Linked DNA regions of Saccharomyces cerevisiae S288C. Changing the gene in region 2 together with the main gene of any one other region gives a genetic interaction. Each region holds a gene or a part of one and is shown on either strand. Other genes may lie near its edges.

The links.
Region 1: mutations in HPF1 (region 2) and ERP3 together harm fitness more than expected from each alone (negative genetic interaction), as found in Saccharomyces cerevisiae (one large-scale study listed by BioGRID).
Region 3: mutations in HPF1 (region 2) and SDS23 together harm fitness more than expected from each alone (negative genetic interaction), as found in Saccharomyces cerevisiae (one large-scale study listed by BioGRID).
Region 4: mutations in HPF1 (region 2) and BUD25 together harm fitness more than expected from each alone (negative genetic interaction), as found in Saccharomyces cerevisiae (one large-scale study listed by BioGRID).

The regions. Positions count from the first base shown.
Region 1 is NC_001136.10:422,333-425,131, reverse strand, and holds ERP3 (Erp3p), read left to right. Parts: upstream 1-1,621; coding exon 1,622-2,299; downstream 2,300-2,799. Other genes in the region: serine/threonine protein kinase CDC7, read right to left, coding at 1-923. UniProt on the Saccharomyces cerevisiae protein: Involved in vesicular protein trafficking.
Region 2 is NC_001147.6:28,177-33,490, forward strand, and holds HPF1 (mannoprotein), read right to left. Parts: upstream 3,431-5,314; coding exon 527-3,430; downstream 1-526. UniProt on the Saccharomyces cerevisiae protein: Involved in cell wall organization and biosynthesis.
Region 3 is NC_001139.9:395,467-399,546, forward strand, and holds SDS23 (Sds23p), read right to left. Parts: upstream 2,153-4,080; coding exon 569-2,152; downstream 1-568. Other genes in the region: GEP7 (Gep7p), read right to left, coding at 1-363; OLE1 (stearoyl-CoA 9-desaturase), read left to right, coding at 3,162-4,080. UniProt on the Saccharomyces cerevisiae protein: Involved in DNA replication and cell separation during budding.
Region 4 is NC_001137.3:183,231-186,768, forward strand, and holds BUD25 (Bud25p), read right to left. Parts: upstream 1,471-3,538; coding exon 1,448-1,470; coding exon of another isoform or gene 1,311-1,447; intron 990-1,310; coding exon of another isoform or gene 940-989; coding exon 501-939; downstream 1-500. Other genes in the region: HEM14 (oxygen-dependent protoporphyrinogen oxidase), read left to right, coding at 1-989; medium-chain fatty acid-CoA ligase FAA2, read left to right, coding at 1,311-3,538. UniProt on the Saccharomyces cerevisiae protein: Involved in bud site selection. Required for resistance to the DNA-damaging agent methyl methanesulfonate (MMS).

The DNA.
Region 1 (2,799 bases), on a different chromosome or scaffold from region 2:
ATAACACCTACGGACCATATATCAATCTTTGTGCTTTGAGCCCCACACTTCATTAACACTTCTGGTGCCCGAAATCCACGAGTCCCTGCTCTATTAGCCCTTTTAATTCTACGCGTTTCATTTTTAGGATAACCCTTTGTCAGATCCACCCCATTTACATTGTTTAAGTGGACGACCTTGCCATTTTGTATGGTGACCATAGGAGGTGTTTGGTTATGTGAGTTAGGAGAATATTGATTACGCATAATGCATGGACAAAATTGTTCGTGATTCCTCATTGAATATCCACCATCATGGTTTGTATTTGCATAATTGTCGTAATCGTTTTGACTAGATATCATGCTTTTATAATCCATTTGAGCCTCGGCTAGACCAAAATCAACAAGCACTCCACGCCCCAATTCCAAATTAAATAAAAAATTTGTCGGTTTGATGTCTCTATGAATAATTCCCTTCGAATGAACAAACTTCAATGCTCTTAGTAGCTCCCAAATGTACTTCTTGATTCCCTTGATTGGTAGATCCCTGTAGAAAGTTCGGAACTCCTCGTGGGGATAGTACGGTAAAACAGCAATGACTTGATCTCGCACCCTTTTTGCATCACATAGAGGGGCTACTCTCGAAGATCCCGTCATTATGTACAGCAGGTTGAGCTCATTATAAATTCTTTGCGGTGACGAGGTAACGTATATTTTCTTCAAAGCAACATAGTTCGAACCATAATTCCAAAAATGTGATGCAAATTTTTTTGTTATTTTCCCAGTGATATCTTTGGCTTTATACACTGACGAAAATGTTCCCTCACCGATCTTGTCTATGAGTTTATATTCATTTTCTATACCCGGTAGATCATGATAGAGCTGTATCATCTCTTCTTTGATTTCTGGAGGTATATCATCGATATTCTTCGTTTTGCTTGTCATTATGATTGTTCTACTTCGAAACTGCCTCTTTCCTAAGAAAATTAGATAATAGCACAATTGTTATTGAAAATTTAAGGTAGTCTGTTACTTCCCGTTACGCCTGCTGAGCGGTTTTTTTTGTTAATGGTTCTTGCATTGATTTTAGGCGGAAATGTGAAGTGCTCTTCTACTCACTAAATTGATGCCGTTCAAGAAGACGCCCCAGGGCAAAGAAGACATAATTTAAAAGCTGACCGGGGACAAATGTTTAAGATTTATGTAGGCCTAAGGCGTTTATCGAGCTAAACGGGAAGTAATTTTACTCTATAAAATGTCATCTACACAAGCATTGCCCCATTAGATTCTTAATTATCTTCAAAACCAGGGCTACACCTTAATTTCCCAAGCTAAAAACATGCTTATATAGAGGTTTAAAAAAAAAGCGTCGTTCGTTGATAAAGTTTACGAACGTATCAGTATGATCGCGTAGGTTTCCACATACTACTTAGACTTCCTACACTGTCATGGTCATTATGTCAACAAAGGTGAGACCAACGCGTCCTGACCTGAATTTTTCTCTCTTTAAAACAGAACGCGTTCTTCATAATCCTCTCCTCAATGAAAGAATTTGGGGGGACAATATCTTGACAGAAACTGGTAAGGCTCTTGATAGTTACCGTACTTGAAGGGACACTGTGAACTGACTAAAAAACTCCGTCATGTCCAATTTATGTGTACTTTTCTTCCAGTTTTTTTTTTTAGCACAATTTTTTGCTGAGGCATCACCGTTGACATTTGAACTGAATAAAGGTCGAAAGGAGTGCTTATATACGCTAACTCCGGAAATTGACTGTACAATCTCATATTATTTTGCAGTACAGCAAGGAGAGAGCAATGACTTTGATGTTAACTACGAAATATTTGCTCCTGATGACAAAAACAAGCCAATAATCGAGAGATCTGGTGAACGTCAAGGTGAATGGTCATTTATAGGCCAACATAAGGGAGAATATGCTATCTGCTTTTATGGTGGTAAAGCACACGACAAGATTGTTGATCTGGACTTCAAGTACAATTGTGAACGCCAAGATGATATTCGAAATGAAAGACGCAAGGCGAGAAAGGCGCAGAGAAACCTGAGAGACTCTAAAACCGATCCCTTGCAAGACAGTGTGGAAAATTCTATAGACACCATAGAAAGGCAGCTCCACGTTTTGGAACGTAATATACAGTACTATAAAAGCAGAAACACCAGAAATCATCACACCGTTTGTTCAACAGAGCATAGAATTGTAATGTTTTCTATTTACGGCATATTATTAATCATCGGAATGAGCTGCGCTCAAATTGCCATACTGGAGTTCATTTTCAGAGAATCGAGAAAGCATAATGTGTAAATAGTTGTGTATTGTTCCTGCATTTTCTATCAACTTGAGAATATATGTTCTTCATATTTAATAGGGGAAAGGAATGACATACCGTATCCAAAATAGCCCTTTTGCTCATGTTAAATCTTATGTAATGACAGAGCTGAAGTGACGTTTCTATTAAAGCACATGTCACGATTTAAAAAATCCTATTTCAAAATGTAGCATTGTTTTCTTCGAGAAATTGACAAAATAATCTTTGTAAGAGTAATTTTTTCTTAGCCATTGGCATATGCACCATGCAATTTCCACCTATTTAATTACACTTGCAGTCAATCAACTCGCTTGGGGATGGTATTCCTCTTGGAGTGTTAAACTATATTTTTAGTGAAAGAAGTGATAAGCAAGTGTGCCAGAAAATACAAGGATATAACACAACTTTGAAAAAGAAAAATTGCCGATTCATCTATTAATGTATCTTGTAAAATTGTTTACAAAGAGTCAATCCGCATTACAGGCAAGATTGAACA
Region 2 (5,314 bases):
CCAAACCGAAAAGTTTCTTATACGCAAAAACGCTTTGAAAATTCTCCAAGAATCCTATTTGAAACTCTTATTAATAAATAAAGTATAAATATAATAAAGTTTATTGTGAGACATGTCGCGATAAGCACCCCTTGTCTTTCTTGGAAGGGAGAAATTTGTAATATAAAGCCAAGTGTTCAGAACTCGATTTTTTTCTGACCAAAGAGCGGAAGCTCCACTATAAAAGTTGGGAGGTACTTTTAGGTTCTCTTAAGTTCGCATTTAATTATGGCCTGAACGATTTTACTGTGGACAATAAGTGAAATAAGTGTCCTTAAAATGTGTACGATGTGTACACATCAACCTAGTCTCCCCTTCATTGGCAGAAGAGGGAACCATTTCATCCAAAAAGAATAAAAAAAATAAAAAAAATCCAAATATTAAGCTAAAAAAATACTTAACTGTTTACACAAAGCGTATATAAAACGCATATTAAGAACCTATCTCGTTTCAGAGGAATAAACTTTTAATTCCTCAGTTAAAAAAATTAGTTAAAGAAAGCAAGAACGAAAATACCGACCAATGCATTCAAAGTATTGGCATTCAAACCTGCGGCAATACCCTCGGACTGGACAATGATACCAGTAGAGGTCTTTATTGGAGCTGCAGATTTGGAGTATGTGGAAATTGCACTAGAAGCCTTGGAAATGGCAGTAGTCAATGAGGTTGCTTTAGAACCCTCAGAAGTGACAGTAGTGTATGACTTTGGAGAAGCACTAGTTGCGGTGACGGTTGAAGTAGCTTCAGGTATTTGAGAGGTGATTATCTTGACGTTACAACCATTGTCATCACATTGAGTAACAGTGGCAGTAGTGTATGTCTTAGGGGCAGCACTGGTTTCTGAAGTTTCTGAAGTTTCTTTAGGAGCTTCAGAAGTGACAGTCTTGGTGCTACATCCATTGTCATCGCACTGAGTAACAGTAGCGGTAGTGTATGTCTTTGGAGAAACAGTAGTGGTTGTGGCTTCAGGGGCCTCAGAGGTGACAGTCTTAGTGTTACAGCCGTTGTCGTCACAGTGAGTAACGGTAACAGTAGTGTATGATTTTGGAGAAGTAGTAGTTGCTGAAGTTTCTTCAGGACATTCAGAAGTGACAGTCTTGGTGTTACAGCCATTGTTGTCACAGTGGGTGACGGTAACAGTGGTGTATGATTTGGAAGAAACGGTTTCAGTGGCGACGGTACCGGTAGACGTAGTTACATGACATCCGGTCTCATCGCAAGAAGTGATAGTGGCGGTGGTAGATGAACATGGTACGGTTGTGGTAATGGTATAGACGTTACCGTTCGAATCAGTTGTTTCTGAACAGGAGACAACTACTGTGCTTGTGGTTGTTGCATATGTTAATGTTGTGGTATAAACAGATGGGGAGCCGGAAATCAAGGTGGAAGCCGTTGAACCAGTCACGGAAGCACCGAATGAAGTGGAAGCGGTTGAACCAGTTACGGAAGCACCGAATGAAGTGGAACCGGAAGTAGAGTTGGTAGCCCCTGATGTGGTAGATGTGGATGAGGGTGTAGCGCTGGAAGCAACAACACCTCCGTAATTTAGATAATAAGCATAGGCACCAGCAAATGTTCCTTCGGAGACGTTGAAGCCAGAACTGGAGAACCCAGTACCAATAGAGAAGGAGAATTGTGAGTTGCCTTGTGTTGCAGTTAAAACACCAGTAGCACTGTCGTAAGAAAGAGCAGTGACATCTGCTGTAATGGCGATTTGGTTTTCACCAGTGTATCCAACCACAGGGATAGGAGTAGTGTTGGTTTCGGTTGGGTCAACGGCAAGAACACCTTCACCCTTGAATACAACAGTTTGGCCAGTAAAGGTGTCTGGATAGTGCAAGTAAAGGTTGCCAGAGATGATGTTGATTGTACCACTTCCAGAAACTGGTTCGACAACGACGTAGGTACTGCCATTCTCAAGATTTATCTCACCGTTGTTGACAGAACCTGATTCAGCTCTACGCTGCAAACCAGAGACGGAACCACCATTGAGAATAGCATTTGAGAAAGAGAAAGCACCAGAGTTAGAGTAGGGAGAGAATGTGACTTCGCCCTTTGTGGACTCTGATAGACTCAAAGAAATATCACCACTGTTATCGAAAGAGCCTGGAGTGAAGGAGTAGGCAGATGCGGAAGAAGCAGCAGGCTCTTCAGCGTTAAAGGTACCAGATACATCAAAGTTTTCACCAGAAATGTCGAATTCGGTACCTGGGTAAGTTGGCTTAGACTTTTCTACGAAAACGCCACCATGGATTATGAAATCAGCAGAGAAAACGTATTTGTCACCATCAAGTAGGGTCAACTTACCACCTGCAGCGACTTCGACAGCTTCAGTTGCAATGACTGAACCGGTGAGTGTGATGTCACCACTGATGGTTGTAGAAGGCAAATAAATAGTACCATCGCTGGAAGAAAGAGAGTTGGAAGCAGTTGCAGTTGCACTAGAAGCCGAAGAGGTAATAGAACTTAAGGTACCGGAGGTGATAGAACCAGAGGCAGTGGAAGCCGATGAGGTTGATTGAGGAATTGAACTCGAGATACCTGGAGCAGAAGAAGCTGATGAACCGGAAACGGAGGAACCAGATTGTGTAACAGAACCGGACGTGCTGGAGGCTGATGAACCGGAAGCGGTACCAGATTGTGTGATAGATGATTCAGATGCTGATGAGGATGAGCCTGATTCTGTGACAGAACCGGATGAGCTAGGAACCGAAGAAGCGGAGCCTGATTCTGTGGCAGAAGATGAACCGGAGACTGATGAGCCTGATTCTGTGGCAGAAGATGAACCGGAGACTGATGAGCCTGATTCTGTGGCAGAAGATGAACCGGAGGCGGATGAGCCTGATTCAGTGGCAGAAGATGAACCGGAGGCGGATGAGCCTGATTCAGTGGCAGAAGTTGAACCGGAGACTGATGAGCCCGATTCAGTGGCGGAGGATGAGCCTGATGTAATGGAAGTAGATGAACCGGAGACTGATGAGCCCGATTCAGTGGCGGAGGATGAACCGGAGGCGGATGAGCCTGATTCAGTGGCAGAAGATGAACTGGAGACTGATGAGCCTGATGAAGTAATAGAAGATGAGCCGGAGACTGAAGAGCCTGATGAAGTAATAGAGCTCGAGACTTCAGAGGACGAGGTTGATGGAGCAATGGAGCTCGAGACTTCGGTGGAGGATGACGTTAACTCAGTGAGAGAGCTCGAGACATCAGAAGTAGATGAGGTCAACTCAATAGAACTACTGATGGAAACGGAACCTGATGAAGTTGACGAAACGGCGGTGGAGCTGTTACTAGCGATTGAGGAACTGTTGGTATAATATTGGCCCAATGCACTTTGGGAGTAAAGGACCAAAGCCAAAGCGGCTTGAAGTTTATTAAAGCGATTGAACATCTCTTTGACAGGCGAGATCTTACCAAAAAGAATCAACGATGGGTATTTGTTGTTACTGACTTGAGAACCAGAAAAGGCATAAACCTAAGATAATGGGATGGCAGAACCGATACTAATGAGATGAATATGAAGCTTTTTATATGCTTTTTGCAAGTGTGAGCGGACTCCGAATACGCAACTGCGTAGATTAACCGCTGGGCTAGCTTAAATCTCCTACGGGCACTTCTGCGGAAGCATCCGCAAGTTCTGTGCGCGCGCGTTCCTTGCAACGAACGGGGGGGCATTTTAATGAGTAAACAAAGATATTCCGCTGCTAATAACAACAAGAGACCCCCTAAGCAGTCTGCAAAACCGTGCAGGACGTGGTCTAAGCTACTTTGATAAGATAGTCACAGGAACCTTTTTGGAAAATTAAACTATTACCGAAAAAAGCCACAACACAGGGCCTAGCACCAAGCATTTTCACCCAATTCGTCATGAAAAGTCATTATTACCTTATTTCCAATTGGAGAGTTAGCCAGGAATCTCCGCTCAGAATGAACTAGCAGTATAAAGAAAAATATACGACTTGGATAAAGAGGAATGCTTTAGTAAGCTACACCTCACTTTTCGATGAAAAGGAGTTAGTGGTTGCCTTCCGTGAGCGCGAGATATTTATTTTTATGTTCCTAAGGCGCGTGTCTACCTCGTATTTCTGCAACGCGAGCACGGTTTTCTGTTGAGGAGTGGCTGGTAAAGGCCCTTTAAAAATACCACGCCATTTTAGTAGGCCCTACTAACTAATTCATAGCAAAATTCAGAACTTATCCATTAGAAATAAATTGCGGTGCCTACGAAAAGAACGTTCCCTTGGCAAAATTAAAGAAAAATTAAACGTGATCGGTCTATCGAGCAGGCCATTGAAGCATATGTACAAGCACGGTTTGAGTGCTTAGAATTGAACAGTTATTACAGTTCTTAACACTGTTTCTCTAAAAGTGCAAAAAAGGCACGGTCACATAGACTAATCTTGCAGCGGTTCCAAGGCTTATTTGTTGAGTTGGGTTAGTGGAACGAAGTAGCAGTCAATTCCAACGTAGATCGGTATATACGTTCAAGCCCCCCTGAAAGTTGCCGAGGCCAAATGGAGAAAATAAGTTGTTCCCCTCTTTTTATTAAGAATTAAAGTGTTCTATTTTAGATTGATTTCCTACCATTGGTTTCAACTTCTCTCTCTGATTCAGTTAAGCGACGGTGTTTTTAATTCAGATTTGATTGTCCGTCTCCATTTTTTGGTAAGATAAGTGTGAGCAAGTTTGAGGGGTTACTACTGACTCAGAAACCGTACTGCTATGTAGTACTTGCCTTCGTCCTACCTAGTAACTATTATTTCTACCTAGGAAACATTTTAGGGTATGATCTACCCCATTGCGGGGTGCCTTTTTCTTACGTTAGCGAGTACTCGAATGAGGGTGAAATGGCATCGTCATTGATTGCCGAGGACAGACTCCCCAACATTGAGGTGTTTATGGTTGGCCTTACTGATAAACCATAAAAATACGGTCCGATATGTGTAGTGGTTCCGTTATATTTTTGGCATGGTAAGCATGTATAGGTATATGCTACATTCAATTATCTGGAAAGGCGGTTTTTTAAGCTCATTTTCTTTTTTGAGCTTATTCTTGAAGATAATGCTATCACACGTGCATAATAAAATAGTAGCTTTTTCTTGTAACTGCGCTCTTTTTTAGCCGCATTCCAATTTAGCCTTAAATCGTGAACGTGGAGATGATTATTTCATCTCAACTAACTTGTATAACCTTATTTGCGTAGTCTTCGCGGGGTAATTTTTGATGGTGTAAACTTTTACCATAGAAATACGATACTCTACATGTAGTTTTGTCT
Region 3 (4,080 bases), on a different chromosome or scaffold from region 2:
ATTGAAGAATTTGTTCATAATGACACCAAGCTCGCCGTTGTTTAGACGCTCAGTTAATAAATGATCGCGTTTCAAACCACTTGTTTCGTCTTCATCTAGATCTGGTGCACTTGGCTGCAAGACGCTAAATATCTCGGACATGGTCTGTGAGAAGGAAATGGGGTTTTCTGTAGATGTAGTACTGCCATTTTGAGCTAACCGTATTTTCTGCTTCAAAAGCAGTGAAGCCGGTGGAATTCTTTCTAATTTTGGTTGATAAAATCTCTTTACCAAAAGATTTCCTGCGACTGCTTTAATCATGGGACCGATTCTGAAGGCTCTATGCGATTTTAATCTGAAGATTTTAACATTTGACAGTACCATCTCAATCGGACCTTTTAACTGATTTTAGCGAGAACATGTGTATATATTTCCTCTAAGAAAAGAAAGGGCCTAAAAACCTCGCCCCAGTGCATAATAAAAGTAAAAAAAAAAAAATCAAACTTTATTGGGATAAAATAAAAATCAGAAAAACCCTTATATATGTATATGTAGTTAAATGAAGCCAGTTTTTTTCGTCTGGTTTGTTTCAGCCTATATGCCCTCTTTGCTTTCTTGCCATCTGCGGATCAATTTCCTTATGATGCGTTTGTTTTCTTGCCAAAACACTTAATATGTCAGTCAATGACACAACACCTATCAATTTACCTGTTCTATACTCCTTTTCGAAATGTGCTGGAGTTGGAGATGCGGGACAATTACTTGGACTTTGAGGTGGTGGCATTGTGGCCGATGGAGACTGTGGTTGAGAAGGTGAGGGACCACTCAAATTTATATTTACATTTATTTTATTGTTTGATGTATCTGAAGATTTTAGAACAGGAGAGTTGGCCATCCTGGAAGATTGCGTGTTCGAATGGTATGACGACGCAAGCGATGGCAATGTCGTTACGGGTGGAGTACTTGGTGATGGAGATGAGGATTTTTCGGAAGATGCTGTTGGTTGATTGTCATTTGGTTGTACTATCCATAATCTGTGAGATTTGGTAGCGACCAATTTGGCAAACGTTCTTGCCAGGGAACTTGTTGGATACACATGGAAAATAGGAAATGAGTCCTTACCGGTCTCTAGGCCCCTTAAATTCAAAATAACCGAGACAAAATGACGACATGTATTGTGTAATAAAGGATATTGTGAAGTTCTGGTGACGTGTTTGACGTCTGTTACTGAAATATTACCAATCAAGTTTCCCTGCGGGTCAACTACCGCAATGGAAGAGATTCTTTCGACATACATTTTATGCAGAGCCATAATTAGATGCTCGTCACCTTGGATGGATATGACACGTGACTGCTTGAATGTAGGTTTATCACGGGCTGCATTTAGTACACCAATATTCAGCTCCTCCAGGGAAGAGTCCAAGAGAGGCTTCAAGTTGGGAAATGATCTCGCATTCTCCCACAGATACTTAATCAATCGACGTTGGGAAAGTATACCTTTAATCTGTGTCATTTCCACGTTCGTGATGGCAACACGATGCACACCTGAGCCTAGTATGCCTATTACCGTCGATAAGTTTTCCGTTTCGGGCAATTTGTAGAATGGATTCTTAGGTGTCAACTTTACTATCTCGCCCACGGGCACGGACTTACCATTCTGGCAGTCTGAGGTTATCTTGTCGTTGCTCACCTTGATCCTGTTTAATACAAGAAGAAGGTACGCATTGAGATCATTATAGTCGAATGTTAAACAATTCATGTCTCCCGGAAAATTCTCCACAGGCAAAGACGTTAGCTGGTGCTTGACCAGCGTGTTGAATGCTTCCTCTACGGAAATAGAACCTCTGATGAAAATCAATTTGTTCTGTTCCACCAAATTTGACAGAGGAGTGTGTTGCCACTCCTGCCTATGAACAGATAACAGATTCTGTGAATTCAAGGTGGACAAGGAGTTGCCATTATTGTTTGAGTATTCCGTGTTATCCAGCGTGGAGAGAGAAGATGAAGATGACGATTTCGAAATAGATTTATGTAGTGATTCTGTGTCGCTTTTGTTTGCTTCAGTGTTCTTGTCTGTCTGTTCGCTCAAACTATTTAAATCTGTGGAATTCGGTAATTGAGGTGGGGTAGAAAGCATTTCTACGATGGACGTGTGTCTTGTATTTTGAGGCATTGGGTGGGTCTTGCTGAAAAGATGATGTTCTGAGGTATTCGTATCGCTAGCTTGATACGCTTTTAACAAAAGTAAGCTTTTCGTTTGCAGGTTTGGTTACTTTTCTGTACGAGATGATATCGCTAAGTTTATAGTCATCTGTGAAATTTCTCAAAAACCTCATGGTTTCTCCATCACCCATTTTTCATTTCATTTGCCGGGCGGAAAAAAAAAAGGAAAAAAAAAAAAAAAAAAAATAAATGACACATGGAAATAAGTCAAGGATTAGCGGATATGTAGTTCCAGTCCGGGTTATACCATCACGTGATAATAAATCCAAATGAGAATGAGGGTGTCATATCTAATCATTATGCACGTCAAGATTCTCCGTGACTATGGCTCTTTTCTGAAGCATTTTTCGGGCGCCCGGTGGCCAAAAACTAACTCCGAGCCCGGGCATGTCCCGGGGTTAGCGGGCCCAACAAAGGCGCTTATCTGGTGGGCTTCCGTAGAAGAAAAAAAGCTGTTGAGCGAGCTATTTCGGGTATCCCAGCCTTCTCTGCAGACCGCCCCAGTTGGCTTGGCTCTGGTGCTGTTCGTTAGCATCACATCGCCTGTGACAGGCAGAGGTAATAACGGCTTAAGGTTCTCTTCGCATAGTCGGCAGCTTTCTTTCGGACGTTGAACACTCAACAAACCTTATCTAGTGCCCAACCAGGTGTGCTTCTACGAGTCTTGCTCACTCAGACACACCTATCCCTATTGTTACGGCTATGGGGATGGCACACAAAGGTGGAAATAATAGTAGTTAACAATATATGCAGCAAATCATCGGCTCCTGGCTCATCGAGTCTTGCAAATCAGCATATACATATATATATGGGGGCAGATCTTGATTCATTTATTGTTCTATTTCCATCTTTCCTACTTCTGTTTCCGTTTATATTTTGTATTACGTAGAATAGAACATCATAGTAATAGATAGTTGTGGTGATCATATTATAAACAGCACTAAAACATTACAACAAAGATGCCAACTTCTGGAACTACTATTGAATTGATTGACGACCAATTTCCAAAGGATGACTCTGCCAGCAGTGGCATTGTCGACGAAGTCGACTTAACGGAAGCTAATATTTTGGCTACTGGTTTGAATAAGAAAGCACCAAGAATTGTCAACGGTTTTGGTTCTTTAATGGGCTCCAAGGAAATGGTTTCCGTGGAATTCGACAAGAAGGGAAACGAAAAGAAGTCCAATTTGGATCGTCTGCTAGAAAAGGACAACCAAGAAAAAGAAGAAGCTAAAACTAAAATTCACATCTCCGAACAACCATGGACTTTGAATAACTGGCACCAACATTTGAACTGGTTGAACATGGTTCTTGTTTGTGGTATGCCAATGATTGGTTGGTACTTTGCTCTCTCTGGTAAAGTGCCTTTGCATTTAAACGTTTTCCTTTTCTCCGTTTTCTACTACGCTGTCGGTGGTGTTTCTATTACTGCCGGTTACCATAGATTATGGTCTCACAGATCTTACTCCGCTCACTGGCCATTGAGATTATTCTACGCTATCTTCGGTTGTGCTTCCGTTGAAGGGTCCGCTAAATGGTGGGGCCACTCTCACAGAATTCACCATCGTTACACTGATACCTTGAGAGATCCTTATGACGCTCGTAGAGGTCTATGGTACTCCCACATGGGATGGATGCTTTTGAAGCCAAATCCAAAATACAAGGCTAGAGCTGATATTACCGATATGACTGATGATTGGACCATTAGATTCCAACACAGACACTACATCTTGTTGATGTTGTTAACCGCTTTCGTCATTCCAACTCTTATCTGTGGTTACTTTTTCAACGACTATATGGGTGGTTTGATCTATGCCGGTTTTATTCGTGTCTTTGTCATTCAACAAGCTACCTTTTGCATTAACTCCTTGGCTCATT
Region 4 (3,538 bases), on a different chromosome or scaffold from region 2:
ACGGATCTAACACACAAGCTATGATTGATAATATGCGCGGAAAGTCAAGAAGTAAAAAAACTGAGAACCTGCACCAATCTTTAACTGGCTGCCTTAACGACTACTCAAATGCGTTTGGAAAAGACAGGTCAAAGTTATTAGACTTATCCAACACGCTAAAGAAATATCCCATGTTGGGTCTTGCTGGGGGACTAGAAACGTTTCCCAAGATAGTCAGAAATGCTTTGAACGAATTTAAAAACGTCAAAATAGTTACTGGGAACCCGGTTACGCAAATAATGAAACGCCCTGCTAACGAAACGACAATCGGATTGAAAGCGAAATCTGGCGACCAATACGAAACATTTGACCATTTAAGACTTACGATAACACCTCCCAAAATCGCTAAATTGCTACCGAAGGATCAAAATTCATTATCCAAGTTATTAGATGAGATACAATCAAACACAATAATTTTAGTTAATTATTATTTGCCAAACAAAGATGTAATAGATGCCGATCTACAAGGCTTTGGATACTTGGTTCCCAAATCCAATAAGAATCCAGGGAAATTGCTTGGTGTAATTTTCGATTCTGTTATCGAAAGGAATTTCAAACCACTTTTTGACAAACTCTCCACAAACCCAAACGCCCTCAACAAATATACAAAAGTGACTGCGATGATAGGAGGTTGTATGCTCAATGAACACGGTGTTCCTGTAGTGCCATCCAGGGAGGTAACCATTAATGCAGTCAAAGATGCGCTGAACAACCACCTCGGCATCAGTAACAAGGATCTGGAAGCTGGTCAGTGGGAATTCACTATCGCCGATAGATGTCTGCCAAGATTTCATGTAGGTTATGACGCATGGCAAGAAAGAGCTGAAAGGAAGTTGCAAGAATCTTACGGCCAAACAGTTTCTGTGGGGGGAATGGGATTTTCTAGAAGTCCCGGTGTCCCTGACGTTATTGTAGACGGCTTTAACGACGCCTTACAGCTAAGCAAATAAGTACGTATATATATGGTTAGCTTTACGCAAACTACTTCTTTTGACAATTGAGGCAGTTATCAGCTAATAAGAAAAAGTAGTTAGTATCAAAAGACACAATTTATTTATATTAACCAAATTTTTCAGAACATCCTCCGGACCGTCAGTCTTTAACGCCGAGCCGCCGATGATGGGTTGGAGTCAAAACGAGGGAACTCAATATTAATTGCGGAGTTGAGCGATGATGGGTTGGAACTATATAAAGCATCGGAAACGCATGGCTAAGGGAAGTGGAAGAATGCAGGTTACAAAAAACGGATAAGAACAAACTTGTTTCGAAATATGGCCGCTCCAGATTATGCACTTACCGATTTAATTGAATCGGATCCTCGTTTCGAAAGTTTGAAGACAAGATTAGCCGGTTACACCAAAGGCTCTGATGAATATATTGAAGAGCTATACTCTCAATTACCACTGACCAGCTATCCCAGGTACAAAACATTTTTAAAGAAACAGGCGGTTGCCATTTCGAATCCGGATAATGAAGCTGGTTTTAGCTCGATTTATAGGAGTTCTCTTTCTTCTGAAAATCTAGTGAGCTGTGTGGATAAAAACTTAAGAACTGCATACGATCACTTCATGTTTTCTGCAAGGAGATGGCCTCAACGTGACTGTTTAGGTTCAAGGCCAATTGATAAAGCCACAGGCACCTGGGAGGAAACATTCCGTTTCGAGTCGTACTCCACGGTATCTAAAAGATGTCATAATATCGGAAGTGGTATATTGTCTTTGGTAAACACGAAAAGGAAACGTCCTTTGGAAGCCAATGATTTTGTTGTTGCTATCTTATCACACAACAACCCTGAATGGATCCTAACAGATTTGGCCTGTCAGGCCTATTCTCTAACTAACACGGCTTTGTACGAAACATTAGGTCCAAACACCTCCGAGTACATATTGAATTTAACCGAGGCCCCCATTCTGATTTTTGCAAAATCAAATATGTATCATGTATTGAAGATGGTGCCTGATATGAAATTTGTTAATACTTTGGTTTGTATGGATGAATTAACTCATGACGAGCTCCGTATGCTAAATGAATCGTTGCTACCCGTTAAGTGCAACTCTCTCAATGAAAAAATCACATTTTTTTCATTGGAGCAGGTAGAACAAGTTGGTTGCTTTAACAAAATTCCTGCAATTCCACCTACCCCAGATTCCTTGTATACTATTTCGTTTACTTCTGGTACTACAGGTTTACCTAAAGGTGTGGAAATGTCTCACAGAAACATTGCGTCTGGGATAGCATTTGCTTTTTCTACCTTCAGAATACCGCCAGATAAAAGAAACCAACAGTTATATGATATGTGTTTTTTGCCATTGGCTCATATTTTTGAAAGAATGGTTATTGCGTATGATCTAGCCATCGGGTTTGGAATAGGCTTCTTACATAAACCAGACCCAACTGTATTGGTAGAGGATTTGAAGATTTTGAAACCTTACGCGGTTGCCCTGGTTCCTAGAATATTAACACGGTTTGAAGCCGGTATAAAAAACGCTTTGGATAAATCGACTGTCCAGAGGAACGTAGCAAATACTATATTGGATTCTAAATCGGCCAGATTTACCGCAAGAGGTGGTCCAGATAAATCGATTATGAATTTTCTAGTTTATCATCGCGTATTGATTGATAAAATCAGAGACTCTTTAGGTTTGTCCAATAACTCGTTTATAATTACCGGATCAGCTCCCATATCTAAAGATACCTTACTATTTTTAAGAAGTGCCTTGGATATTGGTATAAGACAGGGCTACGGCTTAACTGAAACTTTTGCTGGTGTCTGTTTAAGCGAACCGTTTGAAAAAGATGTCGGATCTTGTGGTGCCATAGGTATTTCTGCAGAATGTAGATTGAAGTCTGTTCCAGAAATGGGTTACCATGCCGACAAGGATTTAAAAGGTGAACTGCAAATTCGTGGCCCACAGGTTTTTGAAAGATATTTTAAAAATCCGAATGAAACTTCAAAAGCCGTTGACCAAGATGGTTGGTTTTCCACGGGAGATGTTGCATTTATCGATGGAAAAGGTCGCATCAGCGTCATTGATCGAGTCAAGAACTTTTTCAAGCTAGCACATGGTGAATATATTGCTCCAGAGAAAATCGAAAATATTTATTTATCATCATGCCCCTATATCACGCAAATATTTGTCTTTGGAGATCCTTTAAAGACATTTTTAGTTGGCATCGTTGGTGTTGATGTTGATGCAGCGCAACCGATTTTAGCTGCAAAGCACCCAGAGGTGAAAACGTGGACTAAGGAAGTGCTAGTAGAAAACTTAAATCGTAATAAAAAGCTAAGGAAGGAATTTTTAAACAAAATTAATAAATGCACCGATGGGCTACAAGGATTCGAAAAATTGCATAACATCAAAGTCGGACTTGAGCCTTTAACTCTCGAGGATGATGTTGTGACGCCAACTTTTAAAATAAAGCGTGCCAAAGCATCAAAATTCTTCAAAGATACATTAGACCAACTATACGCCGAAGGTTCACTAGTCAAGACAGAAAA